3 linked regions of the Elephas maximus indicus genome follow. The protein of the gene in region 1 purifies or fractionates together with the protein of each later gene. This does not show direct contact. Links are inferred from orthologs where the notes say so. Each region holds a gene or a part of one and is shown in the gene's direction. Other genes may lie near its edges.

Evidence for each region. Proteins that work in one complex are often made in the same cells at the same time.
Region 2: the proteins of SORBS3 (region 1) and WASL purify together in Homo sapiens (co-immunoprecipitation; 3 studies listed by BioGRID and IntAct, with this or other methods). This does not show direct contact. The link is inferred for Elephas maximus indicus from reciprocal best matches to the Homo sapiens genes SORBS3 and WASL.
Region 3: the proteins of SORBS3 (region 1) and DLG5 purify together in Homo sapiens (co-immunoprecipitation; 3 studies listed by BioGRID and IntAct, with this or other methods). This does not show direct contact. The link is inferred for Elephas maximus indicus from reciprocal best matches to the Homo sapiens genes SORBS3 and DLG5.

What each region holds. Positions count from the first base shown.
Region 1 is NC_064840.1:52,127,563-52,135,415, reverse strand, and holds the start of SORBS3 (vinexin), read left to right. Parts: upstream 1-4,846; 5' UTR 4,847-5,358; intron 5,359-7,853. UniProt on the Homo sapiens protein: Vinexin alpha isoform promotes up-regulation of actin stress fiber formation. Vinexin beta isoform plays a role in cell spreading and enhances the activation of JNK/SAPK in response to EGF stimulation by using its third SH3 domain.
Region 2 is NC_064826.1:25,970,963-25,978,617, forward strand, and holds the start of WASL (actin nucleation-promoting factor WASL), read left to right. Parts: upstream 1-4,648; 5' UTR 4,649-5,077; coding exon 5,078-5,194; intron 5,195-7,655. UniProt on the Homo sapiens protein: Regulates actin polymerization by stimulating the actin-nucleating activity of the Arp2/3 complex. Involved in various processes, such as mitosis and cytokinesis, via its role in the regulation of actin polymerization.
Region 3 is NC_064834.1:9,142,293-9,150,257, forward strand, and holds the start of DLG5 (disks large homolog 5), read left to right. Parts: upstream 1-4,958; 5' UTR 4,959-4,995; coding exon 4,996-5,299; intron 5,300-7,965. UniProt on the Homo sapiens protein: Acts as a regulator of the Hippo signaling pathway.

The sequences.
Region 1 (7,853 bases):
CTCAAATGAAATTCTTATTTCTCTCTCACTATAAAACCCACAGCCGTTGAGTCGATTCCAACTCATAGCGACCCTATAGGACAGGGTAGAACTGCTCCATAGAGTTTCCAAGGAGCACCTGGTGGGATTTGAACTGCCGACCTCTTGGTAAGCAGCCATAGCACTTAACCGCTATGCCACCAGGGTTTCCTCTCTAACTATATCTAGATCTAATCCCCACTTTCTTGCCCAGTATGTGTAATTGCAGGGTCTCACTTTTTGCTTCTTACCACAACTTTGAGATTTTGGGGAAAAAGTATGTTTTGTTTTGATACAAGGGATTAAGAATTTAATGGCCAATTAGGTAGTCTTTTCTTTAATGTTGATGCAGTTAAGGAAAAGGTTCATCATAGAATTCAAGGAGGTGGGAAGACAAGGTTATTCTTTGTTTAGAGGCCAAAGCACTACCTCATGGTATCCACTAGTCAACACATTAGCCCTCTTGTCTTATTATCTCAGTATACCTGAGCTAGGAAAGAAGGATGATGCAGACCTAATTTTCCAACTCCTGGTTCTGTGCCCTTCTTTGTGGCTGAGTTGACTTGGCTGGGTTTTCCCTCTGAGGTCATCACTCATTTATCCTTCTCGTATAAAATCTATTGTCTAAAGAGCTGACAGCCACTTGCTGTTTCCATCTTGCCTGAGAACTAAAAGCGGTTCATACAGTTCAGTTCTTCTCAAAGGCAACAACATTGTGCTTGTTTGCTCATCTATAAAAAGAGGAAGAGAGAGACCAATCGTTGATGTGATGTCAGTGTAAAGGCTTCCTTGGGGATAAGCTAGATACACTGGCCAACAGGCTGAACTCTCTCACAGCCTTCAGGGTTTGGATTTGATTGACTCTGAGAACCCTGAATAGATGCCTGTTACAGCATGCGAACGCTATGGAAAGATCTGTGCAAAGCAGGCCTGAAAGCCTCATAATGTTACTCCTATGGGTTTCCACGCACTCATCCTGGCTGGCCTAACACTGACATACTTGACCTGTATTGTGTAGCTTTTCACTCTCAGAGATCCCTCACTTCACAGTGACTACCCCCAAAACACTTGGATTCCAGATGGGCCAGGCTTGGAAATAGCCCTTTCCTCCTCTGCCGTCTCCTGTTCCCATGAGTGGCTGACACAGACAACGGGCATCAATAGAACTTGGCTGGCAACATAAGCAGGCGCTAGAATCAGAGGAGGACCAGGAGAGAGGAAAGGAGCCCAGGGGGTGAAACAGTCCAGATTTGTGCTCGTACATCTGGTATGACTTTATTTCAGTCCCTCACCTCCCCTCCAGAGAAGACCAAACTCCTCCAAAGGGACAGCACTTTCTTTCCTAACCCATTCTTGTCTACTTGCTGAGTTCCCCTGGCAGGAAGAAAACACTTTTCTGAGAGCACAATTGAGAAACCAGCTCAAAGCCTAACTGAAGAATATGCCAGGGCTCGTCTGCCCTTCCTTTATCTAATACGGGGGACTGAGGCACAGAGCTGGGGAGCCTCTTGGTTGAGCAGGGTGGAGCTCAGCAGTGTGACATGAATGCTAGACTTCAGCCCTGGATAAAGACACTCCCCAAGAAACGAGAGTCCAGGTTTACGTCTTCTGGGATCCCTTGCTTCCCTTTTCCCATTTGAGAAATGAAACTGAGTTCTCTGCTCTCTCCTACTCACCTGACCTTCCTTGTTACAAAAAAAGCTACTTAAGTGCTCTTTCCATTCATCCTTTCTCTGGCGACAGAGGTTGGTTTTCAGAGTGACCTTCATTTCTGTATGAACAGCCACCCTCTTCTCCCCCTCCGTGTGAAGAGCCACATCCTTTATTGGCAGTCTCTTGGCTAATGGTCCTTTAGAGTGGTGAGAATGGACAGACTTCTGTTGACATGGGCGCTACTGGGGGATAATCCACAGAACAAAAGGCGGCAGCCTAAGGGGTGGGGAGGTGGGGGACAGAATACTGGTGACTGGGATCAGATTGCTAGGGAAACAGAGCAGTTATGTAACTGTGTTTACTCTGGCTCAGGTGGCTCTGAGAAGGCAGAGGGAGCCTCCTGACAAAAGGCAGTGCCATAGGTGGAGAAGAGGCCGACTCACAGGGAGGGAGGTCCCTGTTGAAAGATATAAGGGAATCCTGCCCAGGAGATAGCACATTGGGATGAAAGGAATCTGCTCTGTTGTTGACAACAGCTAATGTTATCTAGGACGACCTTCCCTATCCTCAGTCTCTCCCTAGAAAGATGCCTGCTGTGGAGCTAGGCCAGCAGCAAGTAGAGCTGAAGCTAGAGGGAGAAGTTGAGAAATCAGACACCTGGTTCTTTTTTTTTTTTTTTTTTAATTGTGCTTATAAATGAAAGTTTACAAATCAAGTCAGTCTCTCATACAAAAACTTATACACACCTTGCTATGTACTCCTAGCTGCTCTCCCCTTAATGAGACAGCACATTCCTCCTCTCCACCCTGTATTCCCCGTGTCCATTCAACCAGCTCCTGCCCCCTCTGCCTTCTCATCTAACCTCCAGACAGGAGCTGCCCACCAGATACCTGGTTCTTGGCTGAATCCCTGGACCTTGCTACTTTTTTTCCCATCATTCACAGTTTTCCAAGGAGACGAATTTTTCTCCCTAAATATGGGCAGAAAAGGAGGAATTAGCCACACAGTTCCTTATGTCTTTCCTGCGCTATGCTCCCACCAATCTCTCATCCTCTCTTCTGTGAGGTCAGATGGGCACCATGGAACACAATGGGGGGATCTGGTCATAGACCCTCCTTTGTCTAACAGAGAGCCTAAGACTCTGGGAAGGAGAGTGTCCACTGGTGCCAGGGCAAAGCAGGTTCTGACCTGAGAGAGAAGGTGGTAAGCCCGGAACAGGGGCCTAGCGAGACAGGCAAAAGTCAAAGCAGCTTAGGAAAAAGGCTCAGGTCACCACCTGGGCCTGTCCCGCCTCCTCTTGCAAAGCTGTTTACTGGACTCCCTATTCCCATAGTGATGAAAGTGGTAGCCAGTCCCCAGCTCCTTACCGATGGCTGCCACCTCCCTTTATGACAAACAGGAAGTTGGGACCTTTGTCAGCTCAGCTGCAACCTCTGTTAAATATTTATCTTGGAGTCCTGGTCAGAGCCCTAGAAAGCAAAGGAAGCTTGCTCCTGGGGAGAGAGGGTATGGCCAGGATTCCCAAAGTTGGAAGATCTTCAGCGTCACCATCTTTGGAGAACAAGGAAAAAAATGAAAGTGATGTGGTCCTTTCTAGTCCCACGGACCCTGACAGGTAGGAAAAACTGGTGACTAGGGAACATTGATTCCAACTCGAATAGTCGACTCCAAGTCATAGCGACCCTATCTATAGGACAGAGTGGAATTGCCCCATAGGGTTTCCAAGGAGCGCCCGGTGGATTCGAACTGCTGACCTTTTTGGTTAGCAGCCATAGCTCTTAGCCACTATGCCACCACAGTTTCCAAGGGAAATGAGCACATAGTTTGTCCCTGAGGGAGGAAGCCCATAGTACCTAGGGGTGGTAAGTATCCAAGTTTTAGGGGAGGGAAAAGGCACGGCTGCCTCCCCTCAAACTCTTCCTTGGAAGCCTTGGATCTGCTTCCCTATCATTTACACCCAATGGTCCCACTTCTGCTCCTAGACCCACAGTGCAACCACTCTACTTCCACGTGGCAACCCTGCAGGTACTGGAAGATAGCCAGCATGCCCTGTCTCTCCTAAGTATCCCCTCAGCCTAAACATCTCTTTCAGCTGTTTTCTATGGGACATTGTTTCACGCTCATTCTGGGCATCCTGATTGAGCTCTTTCAACTGCATAGAAAAAATATAAAGCTAAAACGTTCAGGATGGTAAAGGTGGAAAGTTGTTCATCCCCTTCCCCACTCTCAACTTTTGAGTAAGTACTCCAAGGTGTATTGTGGCCTCAGAGTACAAACCTTACACCCAGTAGGTATGCGGTCCATGTTTACATGTTTTCAAAATCTGTCATTGTTCTGTCCCAAAAAGTATGTGGAGTTGCTCAGTTACTGTTGGATTGTTGGTTTGGGGCCTGGGGTCCCACAGCCAAGCCAAGAGCTAGAAGTACTCCAGCGTCTGTTTCCATTATCGATAAGCATTCATTAAGCATCCCCGCTTTCTACAACAGACCCTGTGCAAACAGGGCGGGCGGGGGAGGGGTGGCGTAGCCAGAAAGGTCAGGGAGCCCATGGGCGGGGCTCTTGGGGCTTGTGCCAGAGCAGCTGGAACAGCGGAAAAGCAACAAAATCAAAATAAATACGGCGTATGGGAACACCAAGACCCTCCTAACCCCATCCCGGCCAGAGGGGCCCCACCCTCATCCTATAGAGGCGTGGTGCGCCCAGTGGGCCGCTCCCTCAGGCTGACTTTCTCCCCGGGCAGTCCTCGGTGCTTGCACGTGTGTGAGCATCGGCATGTTTGCAGGCGAGTGTGTGTGTGTTTGCACACGTCCGGACGCGTGTCTACGCAAGCACAAAAATCTTTCTCCAAGGCCTTAACTCGTTCCGCTTTGCAGCTCTGTCTGGGAGGCCCTCGGCGTTCTCCGGCTTATCTTGGTCCCAGCCTGTCTTCATCTCTGGCCCGTCTCGGGCTTCTCTGAGGTTGCGGACTCCGTATCAGCTGCTGGCTCGACTCGGGCCCTGGGGCCCAGGGCTAGTTCTTGTTAATCATTCCTGCCCTGTCCTGGCTCGGCTGTGCAGCCGCTCCCTTCCCACAAGCTGGAAGTGTCGCTGGAAACTCTGAGTGGCCTTTGCTGGCTCCTCCGCCCCCTGTCCGACGCCAGCCCTGCGGTGGGGGCCGGGGAAAGGCAGCTGGGAAACCAGAGCAGGCTCCCCGGGGACCTTCGGGTGGCTCCTGCCGGCGCCGCCTCCCGGCCGGCCCGGCCTCCTGGGCCAGGAGCCACCAGCGTCCCCGCGGGGCGCCCGGCCAAAGCCCGGACGGAGGGCACTCGCACGCCCTTGGCGGGCTGTCCTCGAGCCCCCGCCCCGCGAGGCGGGAAAGGGAGTAGCCGGCCCCCCACCCCACCCCTCCGCAAACAGTCCAGATTGGAAACACAAACTCCGCCGGTCGCCCTCCCTCTGCCAAAGCTCACGTCCCCTGCCTCCCAGCGCGCTCGCGCTCGCTCACTGCCTCTGCCTCCTTCTTCCTCCTCGTGCGCCCAGCCTCTCGGAGCCCTGTCCTGACCCGGTCACGAGGGGAGAGAGCACATCTCGGACTTCTCCCGGGCCCCTCCCTAAGGGCCCGCAGCGGCCGCGCCAGGCGGGAGCCGAGCAGAGATGCTCCTGCCCTCCCAGGCGGTCTCAGTCCCCGCCACCTGCTCGCCGGGGAAGGTAGGTGCCGGCATGGAGAGGGGCGGGAGAGGAGGCGGAGGCCGCAGTCAGGGAGAGACCAGGGAGCCAACCCTGCCCCGCGCCAAGCCCAAAGGGAAGGCAGTAGAGCCCCTCCCCTTGGGGTCCTCAGAGGCTGGGCGTCCCAAACTCAGGGAAACTGAGGTGGAAAGAGCTTGGAAGTTCCTCCCTCCCGTCAATCCAGAAAAGGGGAAAGTTGAGAAGTCCACGTGGACTTGTAGCTGGACCTGGAAAAGTGCGTAGGGCCAAGACCCCAAGGTCAAAGCAGCACTTAGAGATGGGAAGGTGTTTGCCAGCCGAAGTAGAAGTACCGCATCTCTTCCAGCTCTTTGGAGCTGGCTGTTTGGAAGGAAAGGGGCTGGATGAATTCTGGAAGGACACCAGAAATGTCCAGGCACCCTCTGTCCTCTGCCAGATGCAGGTCCAATTCCCCTGGGTGCCTCATCGTCCCTATGAAAAGCCCTCCCCAATGTTTCCTGGCAGGGCTTCGAGGAGAAAAACTCAGACTACCCTTCCCATCCCCACCTCTGTCTATCCCTGAAGGTTGGGCCAGATGGGGGTGGGGTGGCAGGCAGGCTGAGGCATCAAGGGTCAACAACCCCTGAAAACTCAAGTGGTTGGGGGGCACCTCCTGCCCTCCATCCACCACTCTACAAGAGGGCAGTTGTCACTGAGTACAGAGTGGAATGGGGAGGCTGGGAAAGGAAGAGTCTGGTCAGCTGACGGGCAGAGACTGCAGATGCTGACCAGGCAACTTGGCCTCAAGCAGTCAGCTGGACAGGGAGGGGTCCCTGCTTGGACCTACCCTGTCCTGGGCCTCCTGACCTCCCACTCTCCTCTGCCTCAATTTCCCCACAAGGAAGAGAGCAGTGGGGGAACTAGGATGTGTCTGCATGTTTCGCATTTGATAGGAGTCTTAATGGGATCCAGCTGGTGAGCTGCCCCTCCTCCAGTCTCAGCCCTCCACTCCCCACAGCCACGGAAAAGCTAGATCCCCAACAGGCCACTGCTCGAATGTCAGAAGGAATCCCCCCAAACTCAGACCAGAGACAAGGAGCTGCCCCCAGCTTTGTCTGTACCCTTGCCAACCCCCCCCAAGGCCTGACAACCAGTCACAGCCCCTATGCACCCTCATCTCCTCTGGTCCCCGCAAGTCGTGTGCTGCTCATATGACCACCCACTGCATACACACACCCACATACAATTCAGCTGACTCCCTTCTGTACCCACAACCCATGCTGCTCACATGATCCCCACTGGTGGCACCCCCACAAGTCAGAGCCACATCACTCCACCTCCATTCCCATCCCACTGGCTGCCCTCCCCATGAACCCCCACCGACCCCACAGGCACACACAGTCACACTGAGCAAAAAGCCCAGAACTAGTCTGGCCCCAGAAGGTAGTGGCCCAGTCCAACAGCAAAGGTGAGGTGGGACAGCCTCCACACCAGTTTCTGGGTAGAAGAGCCTCATTAGACACCCTGACCTGAGAACCTCCTCCCTGTCCTCTTCCACCCACCCCTCTGAGTTCCCTTCCTCCATTTCCATCTCCTGAATGCCTGGAGCCCCTTACCCCTGACCTAACCTCAGTAGAACCTGGCTGGCCAGGGAAGATCCTCCATCCAACAATCAGTCTGAAGACATAGGAGGAAGTGTGTGTGTGTGTGTGTGTGTGTGTGTGTGTGTGTGTGTGTGTGTGTGTGTGTGTGTGACCATGTGCAAGAGAGCACCAGGGAATACCCTCCAGGTCCACCTTTCCTCTCACCGGCTACTTCTCTCCACCCCCTCCTCACTGCACGCTGAACCTCTGAGTCCTCAGTCTGAGGGAAGGGAGATAAAGGATGGAGCTGATACTCCCTTTGAGCTCAGAAGGAGTGGTTCCTGCTGCCTGGAAATGCCCCCCACTCTACCCCTCCCCGGAACCTTGGCCTTGTTCGGGTTTAGGGTGCCACCACTGCTTCCCAGCGGGCAGTGGGCGGTGCCCTTGCTGTTGGCCAGGGCCTCTCCCCTGGCCTGAGTTGCTCCTTGTGCCCGCTGGCAAGCAGATGCTCACTCAGGGACTGGGGGAGGCAGAGGGAACTGAAACAAAGTCTCATATCCCCCTACCCCTCTCTGCCAGTTGCCCCAGTTCCCCTCTGCCTTCCTCTGGGGGAGCAGGCTGTGCTATGCAGTGAGAGCCCCAGAGAGGCTGCCCAACAGGGCGAAGGCCGGAGCTTGGTCCTGCAGACCTGCATGCCCAAGGAGGCTTTGTCCAGCAAGCCTGCTCCTGGCCAGCCTTCCCTCCTCCTTGCCCAGGCCTCCCCCACCCCCACTCCCACCAGGAGCTCCTGCCCAGGGCCTAACAAGCAGTCCATTGTGCCTATGGGAGCTGGCACAGGCAGCCTGCAGGCGGGTGCCCACAGTGGCCTGTTTCCTGGGTCCTGTGGGCTCCCACCCAGCTGACCCCAACCCCCTCCCAAGGTTTTCCCCTCCTTCC
Region 2 (7,655 bases), on another chromosome or scaffold:
TCTTCAAATTATTTCTTGAATAAAAGTATGCATTAGGTGTCTGGAGACTAAGCCACATAGTGGTAGTAAACAGCACTGGTAATTCACTACTATGAATAAGAATTCAAGTCTCCATTATCATATGTAAAAAATCAGAACAAATGGTTAGTAAGCTATCAATTCTTTTAAACAGTACGCCCCAAAGGAGCTTGTACTCAAAACGAATTTAAAAGGAAGGGGGGAAAAAATAGCTTACTTTTTAAGATTTTAGTTGTTGAAAAATATTCAACATCTGACTTGGTGGTACATGTAGAAGAACAAAATCTCTGAAGCACTGCTATCTGCAACATTTACATAAAAACATGCGGAAATATTTTAAAATGTGAACATTTTAAACCCATGACACCTGGAGGTTGGATGGGAGAAGTAGCACTCATCACCCCTACAGTATCCAGGTTTGCTGCTGTTATGTCTCTATAAGTAATTCAGTTCTGCCATAACCAAGTAGCACATTAGTACCAGCAATTCCGGCTACAATGGCTGCTGAATGCCAAAGATCCCCATGTGCACCTCCTTCTATATTGCCCCACAATGAAGGCTGTCACTACATTTTAGATTATTAACATTAGCAAGGGGAACGGGCTGTTTCAGAGGACTTGTAAGAGTACATACACAATGACATTTCTAAAGAAAAAAATGGATAATAAAGAACCAGAACAAGAGAAATTTGCAAAGTGTAATGACGACATCAGGGAATGCATCTGAAAATATGCCCTTATTTCCATAAATAAGCTACCTTAATGTTTTCTGCTAAAATGAGAGTTTTACTCTAAGGGATCATAGTAAAGAAAGAAAAAAGAAAAGTACCAGAATAGACTCCAGTTAAATCAAGGAAAATTCAAATGGAAGAAATTAAACTTAAGAATTTCCTTATTTTTATTTATATTCATAGACATTTTAATATTGCACATATTATATATAAAATCTCTATGCCTGAACTTTCATAGTCACACATGACTTCTCTCAGAGACATTTTCTATGAAAGTGATTTTCATAATAGATTTAGAGTGTAAACAGTGAAACAGTAGAAATTGTCATCACTTTTTAAACTCTTTTCAGCCTTCTTTTAAGGGAAGGGTTTTTATAGGAGGAAGCATACTGAGAATAATTTGTATTTTATATATATATATAAAGCTTCTCCTTGTATCCTTAACCAAGCCAGTGTAGAAGGTTAAAATTGCCTTTTTCTGAACAGAAGGCCCTTACCATGTTGCTATGAGAAGTACTCCTTCAGGGTGATGCAGAAACAGATATCCATTTCTGAGAGTTTTGATGCCACAAACCTCAGATGGGCAACACACAAGAACCTCACCTGAGTGTGTCTGGGTGTGTTGTAATGTCAGCCTAACGGTCTGTGTACATTTCTGAATATGAAGGATGGATTGGTGAGTTAACGAAGAAATGAATGAAAGCCGTTTGGGAGGGAAGTGAAAGCTCCAGGGACAGAATAAAATTCCTCGCTTGCAAACTTTAGGCTATCCACTTGAAGGGAAATAGAACCTTTCTTATTTCCTGGATCAAATCCAATCTCTCAAACTAAGTAAAAAGAATTTGAGATAAGAAAATAACTTGGCAAAGAAAAAAGAGAGAGAGATGTCTTCTGCCAAACAGAGGACACACTATCAAGAATAAAAGGAAGAAAGGACTTGTTAAAACTGCTAAAAGAAATGCAGTCAGTACTTCTTGGTCTCAGTGTGAACATGGAAAAATAGAACGTTTTATAAATGGGAAGGAGGAAAAATAAATATTGCTTGTTCACGTGTTCAAAAGGGTAAGGAAGTCATATTTCCAATGTTATGTTCATGCTACATTTTCCTCATTTTAAGAACAGTATCAAGGAATTGAAAAAAGTCCACAGGTAAGCAAAAATAACAAAAAAGAGGATAGAAAATAATAACTTAAATTGTGATTTTGTGAACAAAGTACTACAGAGTATTTAGATTTTTTATAAAAAATTTAAGAAAATGGTTTGAGTTTAAGAAATTTATGGCGGTTATAATTTTCAATCTTCATTTCTAACAAAGACAGAACAAGGGCAAAGAATCATAAAACTGCATTTAGAAACAGATACTTAAAATTTCCTGAAAGGATAAAATAGTAATTAAAACAGTACTATTAATAAACCAAACCCTTTGCCCATTGAGTCAATTCTGCCTCATACTGACCCCACGTTTCAGATAACACTTGGAAACACATGGAACTGCAAATGGTTAAGCACCTGGTTAAGTTCCCACTACTAACAAAAAGTTGAAGGTTCAAACCCACCCAGGGGTGTCTCAGGAGAGAAGCCTGGCAATCTGCTTCCAAAGGTCACAGCCATGAAAACCCTGTGGAGCGCGGTTCTACTCTATAACACGTGGAGTTGCTATGAGTTGGAATGACTTGACAGCCACTGGGGGTGGAATTTCTAATGCTTTCTTCTGTCACTGTTTTAAACTTATAGGAACTGTACTTTTGATACAAGAGACAAATTGATTTAGCTTCTATGGTTATTTTGCTAACTCTAATTCAGAGGCAACCTCAAGTTTACCTTCTTACTATGCCTTTCTAAAACTGGAAACCCTGGTGGCCTAGTGGTTAAGTGCTATGGTTGCCAACCAAAAGGTTGGCAGTTTGAATCTACCAGGTGCTTCTTAGAAACTCCATGGGGCAGTTCTACTCTGTCCTATAGGATCACTATGAGTTGGAATCGGCTGGATGGCAGTGAGTTTTGGTTCTAAAAAGAATTATTTTATAAATAATCCTATTGCTTTTTTCTTTTTTTTTTAAATCACCTTTTCCTTAACATTGTTAAACAGGTTTAGTTTTAAAATACACATCCATATTTTAGATAAGCGCTCCCAAGGCTATACACTTTCATTTTCCCTTGCAGGTTTATTCCTGTTGAGCCAATTTCATTTTACTTGGATCCATAATCAACAGCCACAGAAACAGCAGTCAAGAAATCAAAAGACACATTGCATTGGGTAAATCTGTTGCAAAGGACCTCTTTAAAGTGTTGAAGAGCAAAGATGTCACCTTGAAGACTAAGGTGCGCCTGACCCCAAGCCATGGTATTTTCAATCGCATCATATGCATGTGAAAGCTGGACAATGAATAAGGAAGACCAAAGAACTAACGCCTTTGAATTATGGTGTTGGCTAAGAATATTGAATAAACCATGGACTGCCAAAAGAATGAACAAATCTCTCTTGGAAGAAGTACAACCAGAATGCTCCTTAGAAGCAAGAACAGCGAGGCTAAGTCTTGCATACTTTGGACATGGTATCAGGAGGGATCAGTCCCTGGAGAAGGACATCATGCTTGGCAAACTACAGGGTCAGCGGAAAAGAGGAAGACCCTCAAGGAGGTGGACTGACACAGTGGCTGCCACAATGAGCTCAAGCATAACAAGGATGGTGTAAGGATGGCACAGAACCGGGCAGAGTTTTGTTTAACTGGGCATACGGTCGCTATGAGTCGGAACCGACTCAAGGGCACCTAACAACAAGCCAATTTCAGTAAGAACAGCTTTAATTTTAAATATGCACAATATTCTGAGTGTATTTACAGTGGTTTATCAATTTACTTAATACATCAGGTTTGTATTGGGAGCTACTAGAGGTGTTAGAATCAAATCGTTTTACAAACTTTTGCTATCAGATTTTTTTGTTTAATTAAATTAATTTGCAAGTATGATGATAAACTTTATGCAATAAAACTAATTTGTTTAATGTGGAGAACAGGCAGATGCATAATTCACTGTAGTCGGTATTACTTCCATATTCCAAAATTTCGTTTTACGATATTTAGTATTCAATATATTAGCAAACGGGGCTATCTCTGGTAACTTTCAACATCCTGAGGCATACCAAAAAAAAAACAAAAAACAAAAGAAACCTTGAGTTTACGTCTAAGGATTAAACCAGATAAGGTATCTTCCTGTGTGACATCCCAAAATGGACACATTATGTGGAGCAAAAGTTAACAAGGTCTTTGAGATTTGAGAAATAGAAAAAATACTGGGGTGGGGGGACGTTGTCTTAATTCACACGACAGAGTAAAAAAACGTGTTCAGGTCTCTTAGAAACAGAACTTGAACTGACATACACGTTTATCCCAGGTGACCGGAGGCGCGGCCGACTTTCCTAAGTGCGTTTGTTCTATCTCACAGCCGTCACCAGGGACAGATCTCGCCTTCGCAATCCCGGGAGAGGCCTGTTGGAGCCTCCACTCCCACTGCTGAAGTCTGGACAAAGTTCGAGAAACCCCGAGCACCTGCGGCTCTGACCACAACAGGCGAGCAGGACACGGCGGGGAGCGCAGGTCTTCTCCCCGATGTTCTGTCTCCACATTCCAGGCCTTTCCGACCAGCGGTGTGCGCCTTCTGTTTCCGCGCCTCGGAAATAAGAGCCGTTCCGGGGAACCGGGCCTGGGTCCTCACCGACATAACGCCAAGGTGCGCGTCCGCAGACAGCCGCAGCGAACAGCCCTCACGCTCTCCTCAGCCCCGGCCCCTGCAGCAGGACCGGGGAGGCCCGAGCCCGCGTCCGGGAGCGCAACCCCGAGTCAGCCGTACGGCCCGCGCCGCGACCGGAAGGAGGCGTGGCCTCGGGCGGCGCGGCCGCGGTTGGGGGAGTCCCCCCGCCAGGCCGCACGCGCGTTTCCGGCGCGCTCCCCCGCCTACTGCGCCCTGTGGTCTCGCCCGCCCTCGCTGCCATGTTGGATTGTGCGGCCGCCGCCGCCGCTGAAGGCCAGGGACGACGATTGGAGGAGGAGTTGGGAGTTTAGCGCAGTCGCCGGACTGTGAGGACAACGACCATCCGGCCCGGGTCTAGCCGGGCGGGAGCCCGGAGCTTTCCTTTTTCAGCGCGGCCCGAGGACGGCCCGCCGTCAGCGCCTCCTTTCCTTCTCCTCCTCCTCCGCCCCGCGCTGAGGAGCTGCGAGATGCTGCACCTCTGACTCCCCTCCTCCCCACCCCTGTCACCGAGAGGGGGACGAGCGCTCTCCCACTCGCCAGAGGAGACGGCCCTGGACTCCCAGCCCTGCCGGCCAAACCATGAGCTCCGGCCAGCAGCAGCCGCCGCCGCCGCGGAGGGTCACCAACGTGGGGTCCCTGCTGCTCACCCCTCAGGAGAATGAGTCCCTCTTCACCTTCCTCGGCAAGAAATGTGTGGTCAGTGGCCGAGATCCGCGCCGCCACCTCGACGTTATCGCCCGGGTTGAGGGTCGAGAAGGGGAAAGGGGGAGCGGGGAAGAGGCGGGAGCGGCGCCGGGAGGGTCCCGCTGCCCGCCAGGCCTCTGCCGGCCGGCCCAGCGCCGCGCCCTGTCCCCTGCCCTCGGTGCTGCCGGGACGCGGAGGAGTGTCACCTCCGCAGGCCTGTCCTGGAGCCCGCCGGGCGGGGACCCTGCCCGCGCCCTTGCTGCTGGTGCAAACTTTACTCGCCGGCCACAAGGGGATTTTCTTGCAGGAGGCGCTTGATCTCAGAACCCGGGCCCCTGTCTGGCCCTCGCTTCACGTCCTACTCCTTGATCAGGGCGTGCCTTTCTTCACAATGCCAAAGGTTCCAGGAGAGGATAGGTCAGGGAATGGAGCCTAAATGGGAATGAAGCAGTTCTCTTTTAGGATCTCGGGAGGGAATGAAGTCGAGCGCGGGGTCCTGAGCTCTCTTCGCTTCGGAACAAGGGCAGGAAATGCTACTGATTTCCACTGCCGAAAAACAGGGTTTATTTCTCCACCAGTCTCAGCCAGGCCCGGCTTCTCCTCTCCTTCCCACTGATGAATTTTCCCCCCCATCGGCAAGGGGGGGTGCTTCTCACCCCACAGCCATGAGCGGGGAAACCGCAGTCTCGAGTAGTTTTTGGCGGTTGGGGCTTGAGAATGATTTTTAGGTTGGGGCTCTGCGGCCGATTCCAATCCCAGATGGCCGGGTTGGAGCAAGCAGTTCTCCGGTGGGAAGGGGTATGTGTGTTGTTGACGGAAGCGTTCATTACATTGGCTGCTGACACTTCTGGGGGTGGGGAGGTTCTGCTCCCTGGTGTAGGCCTTGTCAGGCTGCATCTTACTGCGGTGGTTGAGTTTGTTGAAACGCTGCCTAGGTCCTTTTCTCCTCCTTTGCTGGTTAGCACCTGCAGAGTATGCCACTGGGGCCCAGGAAACACCTAGGGGAATTTCAACAGAGCTTTATCATCTGATAACCTTCCTTAAAAAACCTTAGTAACATTAAATATGCCCAACCAGACTACACCTGGTTGTTTAAGACGTTAGACAATTTCTGGAAAGTTAGCGAATTAATTCTTAACTTTATGAGATTCTACACTTTGTAATCTGTGCCATCCACTTGGAGATTGAATCGCATCCAATTTCAGATGTGTTTTCATATTGAAGTTAGATTTTAGAGAGCGGAATTTGAGTTTACCAATTAGAGGAATGAAACAAGAGGGTGGCTTAAAACCAGAACTTTGGGAAACATCTTTAAAATAATCAAATCTCTTCCACAAATACATACACTTTTTTTTTTTTTTTTTTTAAGAAATGAGAACACTGAGCCAGTGAGCCCTAAGTCACATAACAATTTAGTAATGTAACTAGAATTAGAAAACAAGAACTTCAAAGCCTAGGCCATTTTATTTTCCACTACATCATATTGCTTTAGAAGATTTTTTCCTTAGCTGTTATTGATTTATTTCTTAAGAGTACTATTAAAAAAGTAATCCCTTCTTTTTTCTTTTCATCAAAAACCAATATAATTAAAATGTAAGACTCTTAAAGCAGAACTAATTTATCTAGGAAAATCTTCAGCACTTTAAATTCTGTTACCTGCAAATGATTTTAAAAAAAAAAGAATCCAGTTTTGCTCGTTTATTACATTTACTATGTAATCTGTATCAAAAAGCACATACCAGAAACATTAGGCAGCATGTTACATTTATACACAAATATAGTGACTAATTGCTTTGTGCTTACCATTAGCATCTAACTGATTTGAAAAAATAACGTGCAAGAATGCTGTGATAGAGAATGATAGCCTTGTTTACTGATTAGCATATGAAGATTGTAGAATAAATTGTCAATATTCAGTGCTTAACTTCTTATGTCATCGGTTACTAACCAAGGACTTTACGTTTTGAATTTCTTTCGTTTAAAACTGCATTGTTATAGTTGCCTCCTCTTGTGGGAGGAAATTGTTGTAAAGATTAGCTTTAATGCTTGAAGTCCCCAGTTAATAGTAAAGTAAGAATGATATTATAATTTTTTTCAAACATTTATTTTTCTTTGCTATTTATACCATTTTTGTTAGTTTAAAAATACTGAAATACATTGTCCTATAATAAATTGGCAGTAAATTTGATCTGATTTATAGGTCAGATTTCTTAGGCAAGTGTATTTAGAGCCTATCTAAGGATTTAAGAAATGAGACAAGCAGTTATAGTTCGAACTCTCAAGGAGTTTCATTCCATCTTTCATTCATTCAACAAACATGTATTGAGTAACCAGCGTCGAGGTCAAAATCAGGGCTGAGGAGCTTACTGTGTCTAAAAAGGGAAACAAATATATAAACTGATGAGTAAGGCAATACTTCAAGAGTGATGCGTAAGAGGCATACTGTCAAAATGGAAAACGCCTTGGGCTTGTA
Region 3 (7,965 bases), on another chromosome or scaffold:
AAGGAGAGAAGGAGTCAACCTTGGGGAGAAAGGAGCCAGTGGAGCAGACGGGGGAGAGAGAACAAGAGGATGTTCTGAGGATGGGATGAAGCAGCCCAGAGGTGATGCTGGAGGTATGAAGGCAAGGCTTCAGGAGGCTAATGTGGAGAACCAGCTTTCTGTGGGGAGTTATGTTGAGAAGCTAGATATCAAAGCACCAACCAAGGAGTGAGAAGTCTGTGAACTTCTAGAGGTCCCCTAAGCGTCACACCATGTTTCTCTCCTAAGTAAATGCGAGAGGGAAGGCTTTTGAGAATGGGGAAGCCCCAAGCCTTCTGGTTGACATGAGTCAGAGCAGAGGGAAACTTGGACAGTGGGAGAAAGTGGGATAGCATATGACGGTGGAGGGTTCTGGAAAAGGGGTACGTGTGTGTCTTTGCATGTGTGTAGCGTGCAGGGATTGCATCCAGAGCATGGAAGAGGCTGTTCTCTAAGGTGCACCTGACTCAAGCCATGGTATTTTCAATCACCTCATATGTATGCGAAAGGTGGACAATGAATAAAGAAGACCAAAGAATCGGTGTCTTTGAATTATGGTGTTGGCAAAGCATATTGAATATATCATGGGCTGCCAGAAGAATGAACAGATCTGTCTTGGAAGAAGTACAGCCAGAGTGCTCCTTAGAAGTGAAGTTGGTGGGACTCTGTCTCATGTATTTTGGACATGTTATCAGGAGGGACCAGTCCCTGGAGAAGCACATCATGCTTGGTAGGGTAGAGGGTCAGTGAAAAAGAGGAAGACCCTTGATGAGATGGGTTGGCATTGTGGCTGCAACATGGGCTCAAACAGAGCAACAACTGTGAGTATGGTGCAGGCCTGGGCAGTGTTTCGTTCTGCTGTACGTAGGGTTGCTGTGAGTTGGAATTGACCCAGTGGTACCTAACAACAACATGGAAGAGGCTGTTCTCAAGGAGGAGACACCCTCTTTTTCTAAGACCAGAGAAAGGTGGAAAGGTGAGTAAATCTCCAGAAAAATACTTAGGCAGTTGAAGAGTGCGACGATAGTTTGATTTGTCCAATGGGGACACCCATCTTTGTCCTTCATACCTCCCCAATTGTGATGGGGCCCAAAGTAGATAGTGTGGGGGAAGGTGCCTGTCTTAGTGATCTAGTGCTGCTGTAACAGAAATGCCACAAGTGGACGGCTTTAACACACAGAAGTTGATTCTCTCCCAGGTCAGGAGGCTGGAAGTCTGAATTCAGGGCACTGGCTCTAGGGAAAGGGCTTTTTTTTTTTTTTTTTTTTGTGGCTCTGGGAGAAGGTCTTATTCCTTGGTTCCTTGATGATCTTCCTGTGGTGTAGTGTATCTCTTTTCCCACCTCTCTCTACTTGCTTGTTTAATCTCTTTTATATCTCTAAAGAGATTGACTCAGATACACCCTACACTAATCCTTCCATTAACATAACAAAGACAGCCCAATTCCAAATGGGATTGTAACTGAAGGCATAGAATTTAGGACTTACAACATGTATTTCTGGGGGACACAATTCAATCTGTAACAGTGCCCCAAAGGGTGTCAAGTGCTACAGAAATACAAGATCATACCAAGGTCACTGATGAAAGGAATCCTAAAGTAAATGTTTTTATAAAGTAAATTGTCTTCTCTAAACTGTATAATTTGCATAAAATCCTAGAGTTTCTATAAAGAAGGGTTTACTGAAAGTAGTTTCCAGCCTACTGAGAAAGTACTCTTAGCAAATGGGCCTGTTCACTGCTCCCACTAAGACTCACAGGGGAAAAAAAAACATACATGCTCCCCACCATCCTTTCAGGGGTCCTGGGAGACTGTGCCTCCCTCCTGCCCCTTCCTGTCTCGGGCACCCTTTGGATATCTGAGACTTATTCACAGTCAGTTCTAACCATAAACCAAATTCGTGTCTGACTTCTTTCTCCCTATTTCCACTTTCCTCCCACTCCCTACACTTGTAGCTAATCCAGCTGAGAACAGAGGCTCCAGGTGTGTTCTGAAAGGTGGATGCCTTTGAGGATGGTTTAGGCTGTGCACTTGCTGTAAGGGAAGTCAGGGGAACCATCTCTCAGGTGGGGCAGGAGGGGGAGGAGAAGAGAGGGAGCTTGTCTAGAGCCCTGGCAATGTGCAACAGGCGATTTTCCTTCCCCTGAAAACTTGCTCAGGCATAGAAACTGAGACTGAGTAGAAAGGTATATAAACATAACTTAGTTTCATTTTGGAGTCCATTTAGGAGTCCATCTTGGGTTATGGAGGCCTTAAAGAACTTGATGAAAGTCAATATGGTTGGCTGGAAGGCTGGAGGCTTGAGTCCACCCAGAGGCGCCTTGGGAGAAAGGCCTGACAATCTATTCTGAAAAATCAGTCACCGAAAACCACGTGGAGCACAGTTCTACTCTGGCAGACGTGGGGTTGCCATGAGTTGGCGTCCACTCCATGGCAACTGTTAATATTTTTTTAATGGAAGCTTCATCCCAGAAAAATACATAAATGTCCACAAAAAAAGTTTCAGATAAAATCAAAAGCTTCATGGACACCTTCAGGCTTATCCACGGACCCAAGGTTAAGAACACCTGATCTAATAAACTCTCTCTGCCCCATTTTCCTGATGAGAAAAACAAGATCAGCAAGGATAACTGATTTGCCCCACAGCACTGAAGCCCAAAGGTCAAAGGGCAAAGATGTCACCCTGCAGACTAAGGTGTGCCTGACCCAAGCCATGGTATTTTCAGTCGCATCATATGCATGTGAAAGCTGGGCAATGAATAAGGAAGACTGAAGAAGAACTGATGCCTTTGAATTGTGGTGTTGGCGAAGAATATTTAATATACCATGGACTGCCAAAAGAATGAACAAATCTGTCCTAGAAGAAGTACAACCAGAATGCTCCTTAAAGGCAAGGATGGCGAGACTGCATCTTACATACTTTGGACATGTCATCAGGAGGGATCAGTCCCTGGAGAAGGACATCATGCTTGGCAGAGTACGGGGTCAGCGGAAAAGAGGAAGACCCTGAACGAGATGGATTGACACAGCAGCTCCAACAATGAGCTCAAGCATAACAACGACTGTAAGGATGGTGCAGGACCAGGCAGTGTTTCATTCTGTTGTGCATAGGGTCGCTATGAGTCGGAACTGACTGGAAAGCACCTAACAACAACAACAACAGCTGAAGCCCTGGTGACGTAGTGGCTAAGAGCTCGGCTGCTAACCAAAAAGTCTGCAGCCGCTCCATGGAAACCCTATCGGGCAGTTCTATTCTGTCCTAAAAGGTCGCTAGAGTTGGAATCTATCCCACTGCTAGACTTTTGGTGTTTTCTTTCTTTCTTTTTTTTTTTTTTTTGGGATATGCAGCTATTTAGAGGGAAAGTCAAAACCTAAGTGTAAATTCTGACACTCTTGCTCTAAGCACTATATAAAGAGTTTGCATCCATTAAATGAAAGACCACTCCCTGTCAATGAAGCAGTATGCTTAAGAAAACTTTTTTGCTGGACTTGGCAAATGGTGATGGTGGGAGTGATGGTGTTAGTAAAAAAATCACGTGTGTCCCCAGCGTTTGTAAGTGAGAAAAAAAAAAAAAAAAGTGAGACTCACTCTAATACAGACAAGTAGAAGGGGACCTGGAATCCCAGTCTAGAGCAGTGTGGTGGAGGTTACAGACAGCAATCATTTGGGATTCTACCTTTTAAGGAGCTTGTCCTCCAGGCAGGGCATTGCTGCGGTAATGGAAGGCAGAAAATCTTCTGGGGCTTGGAAATCGCAGAGGAGATTCTCAGTGAGATCTTCGGGAACGCAGGTTTCCACAGCCCATTGATTTGGCCCCTCCCGAGGCCAGCTAGACTCTGGGGTGACATCTAAGGGGGAGTGCACCTCTCTCGCGGAAAAGACGAACCATTCCACTAGAAATCCACCTTCTTCCTCGCCCAGCAACATTACTCTCCCCACCCCCACCCCCGCATCCGAACCCCTTTAGACTCCGAGACCAGCCCATCCTAAATAGGGGTGAAGGGTAAGGGAAGAGACCGGGAAAAATCCTGATTAACCGAGTCTCAGTTTAGGGGACTTCACTGGGAAATTCTCTAAAGAGCTTCTTGGAGTGGAGACCTCAGAGATAGGAGGGAGGTCCTAACTGGAGATGTCCCAGTTTAGGGGACTCCCCCCAGTTGTCTCCTGGCTTTACTCTGGAGTTGTCATGTTAGGAGACCCCGCCGAGCGCGCGCGGCGGCCCGCCTCCTCCAAGGGCCGGGAGCGGGGAGGCGGGGACCCCTTTCCTTCGCCCGTCCCCTCGGTCACCGCCTCCTCTGGGGGCAGACCTCACGGGCGCTCGGAGGGACGGCCGGGGGAGGGGAGGGCGCGGAGGCACCGGCTGGCGGCGGCGGCGGCCGGGGGGCCCCGGGGAGCCGGACCGGGACGCAGGGGCCGGGCAGGGCCGAGGCGGCCGCCGAGCCCGGGCCGGGGCCGTCGGGGGCCCTGCAAACGCCTCCCTGGCCACTTTTCCCTGGGAGTTGGAGTCTGTTTCGGGGCCCGGGGTTTCGGGGCGCGTTTTCGCGCGGAGCCGGGGAGGGAGCGCGCGCGGAGGGGGAGGGGAGCATGCCCGGCCGCAGCCCGGCCTCGGGGCGCGCCCCGGCCGCCGTCCCCACCTCCTCCGCCTCCTTCTCCTCCTCCGTCTCCTCCTCCTCCTCTCCCAGTCCCGCCGCCGCCGCAGCCAACATGGCTGCGCTCCTGAGCCCGGGAGGCGGCCGCTGCTGAGCGCCGCTCGGCTCCCCGGGCCGCAGCCGCCCAGGCCCCGGCCCATGGCCCCCGCGGCCTCGCGGCTCCCGGCGCGCTAGGGCTGCAGCCGGCGCTCGCCCGCCCGGCCGGAGGCGCCGCGGGCCCCCTGCGCGCCCCCTGCGCGCCCCCCGCCGCCCTCTGCGCGCCCGCCGCCCGCCGCCCCCCGCCGCCCCCTGCGCGCCCCCCGCCGCCCCCTGCGCGCCCGCCGGCCACCATGGAGCCCCAGCGCCGGGAGCTGCTCGCTCAGTGTCAGCAGAGCCTGGCCCAGGCCATGACGGAGGTGGAAGCCGTGCTCGGGCTGCTGGAGGCCGCGGGCGCGCTGAGCCCCGGCGAGCGGCGGCAGCTGGACGAGGAGGCGGGAGGCGCCAAGGCGGAGCTGCTGCTCAAGCTGCTCCTGGCCAAGGAGCGGGACCACTTCCAGGACCTGCGGGCGGCGCTGGAGAAGACGCAGCCTCACCTGCTGCCCATCCTCTACCTGAACGGCGTGGTCGGGCCGCCGCAGCCCGCCGAGGGCGCGGGTGAGTGTCGGACCCCCGCTCCCGGCCTCTTGCACTTGCCTTCCACGCCTTGTCTCCCCAGCTTCCCAGGTGGAGGGCCACCGATCTACCTGGCGCTGGCCTCGGGTAGAACCTTCCCGCCTTATCCCACCTGCGGGAGGGGGCGATAGGTGGATCCCCGATGCACACCTGGTCCCCCAGTGCCACCGCTCGCTGTGATCAGTGCCCCGCACGGAAGGTCTTGAACCTCCTAGGTGCTACAGAAGCGGGTCCGTCGGAGGCCGCCAGATCCAGCCATCGGGGGACCTCAGACGGATGTCTGTCTGTCTGTCAGCCTCTTTCCTAATCTCTTCACCATCCGCTAGTCCCTGGGGAGCCTGTGCGAGCCTTTGATCAAGTCTGGAAGGCTGGGGAGGCCGGGCTAGGACTGGCGCTCCTGGATTTTGAGCCCTTCCACCCCGTCGCAGGATCACTTGTGCCTTTTCACTCTCCGGCTGTCTCAGCTCCCTTCCTCCCCCAGAGCTGTGGCTGATTGTGCACAATGCCGGCTAGGTTTCTGTGGGCCGGGAAAAGTTGGGGAAGTTGCACTGCACCATGGGAAAATCCTGGTAGTGGCTGCTGCGGCTCAGCTCTCTCCCTGACGGGACTGAGTTGCCTGAGCAGGAAAGGCTGGTGGGCCGGTTCCCTTGCTGGTGTCTTCAGGGCCCCCTGTGTCCTTGGTCTTAGGGGTGACCGTTTGGAGAGTGTGCCCGGCATCCGTGAGGGAGGGTGTGCGTGTGGGGGAGCTGCTGGGAGTTTGCTGCAAGCGAAAGGCTTGGCCTGGCCTAGTTGGGGGGTGTGTAGCCAGCCTCCTAAACGGGGGAGAGAGAGAACTAGCATTTATTAGGCACCTACTGTGTAGCAGGCATCTGCTTTGTCATTTCTTGTTTAATTGTTACTGCCCTATGAACTTTATTAGTTCTACTTTGCTGGAAACTCCGGCTCGGAGTCGTTAAAATGCTCATATTGGGCACCAGGAGTTTTGAATGATGATTTCTTGCTTCATTTAACACATTTGAAGTCAGGGAACAGTGAGTGCCACCTTTTCCAGGTCTTGCCCCTGTTTTACGAGTGAACCAAGAGGGCTGAGAAATTGCCCTTAGCACTTACATGCAGAAGGCTGATCGGACCCATTTATTTGGCTGTTAAAAGCCTCACTTGTTAAGGGAATGATTTTATAAGCTGTTCCTCGTAGCGGCTCTGATGTGTATTGGCCATCCCAACCTCAACTTTTATAACTGAAGGAAACTGACATGCAGAGAGACTAAACTCTCTTGGCCACACAGCAGGCTGTTTCATCGGCAGCCCTTCCGTCTCCAGTTTGGGCTTTCAACTCTTGTATTTCTGTCCCTCCAACCTGCATTCTGCCCGCTCAACTGTGGTTGGCATCTGGGTTGCTGGGCAAACCCAGTTCTCCCCTGGGATGGTGCTTTGAAAGATGCTGAGACTGTCAGATGTGGCCATGGGAGAGGACAGAGGAAGACATCATCAGGGTAATTTTTTCTTTTTAATTGCTCTTATTTATCTGCCTAAAAAAAAAAAAAAAACACACACATATAACGTATAACAAATTATAGCTAACATTGTGGAGAATGGGAATTTTGGAACACTTAATTGTGCTTATGAGAAATCTGTACATGGATAAGAGGCAGCCATTCAAACAGAACAAGGGGATACTGCATGGTTTAAAGCCAGGAGAGCTGTGTGTCAGGGTCATATCCTTTCACCATACCTATTCAATCTGTATGCTGAACAAATAATCTGAGAAGCTGGACTACATAAAGAAGAACGTGGCATCAGGATTGGAGGAAGACTCATTAACAACCTGCGTTACGCAGATGACACAACCTTGCTTGCTGAAAGTGAAGAGGACTTGAAGCCCTTACTAATGAAGATCAAAGACCACAGCCTTCAGTATGGATTACACCTCAACATAAAGAAAACAGAAATCCTCACAACTGGACCAATAAGCAACATCATGATAAACGGAGAAAAGATTGAGGTTGTCAGGGTTTTATTTTACTTGGATTCACAATCAGTACCCGTGGAAGCAGCAGCCGAGAAATCAAAAGACACATTGCATTGGGCAAACCAGCTGCAAAAGACCTCTTTAAAGTGATGAAAAGCAAAGCTGTCACCTTGAGGACTAAGGTGCGTCTGACCCAAGCCATGGTGTTTTCAATTGCCTCAGATGCACGCGAAAGCTGGACAGTGAATAAGGAAGACCAGAGAAGAACTGATGCCTTTGAATTGTGGTGTTGGCGAAGAATACTGAATTGAATATACCGTGAACTGCCAAAAGAATGACCAAATCTGTCTTGGAAGAAGTACAGCCAGCATGCTCCTTAGAAGCGAGGATGATGAGACTTCGTCTCATATACTTCAGAAATGTTACCAGGAGGGATAAGTCCCTAGAGAAGGACATCATGCTTGGTGAAGCAGAGGGTCAGCGAAAAAGGAGAAGACCCTTGATGAGATGGACTGATACAGTGGCTACAACAGTGGGCTCAACCATAGCAACAATTGTGAGGATGGGGCAGGACTGGGCAGTGTTTCGCTCTGTTGTGCGCAGGGTTACTATGAGTCAGAACCAACTCCACGCCGGCACCTAACAACAGTAACATCTGTCTGCCTACCTATTTATAACC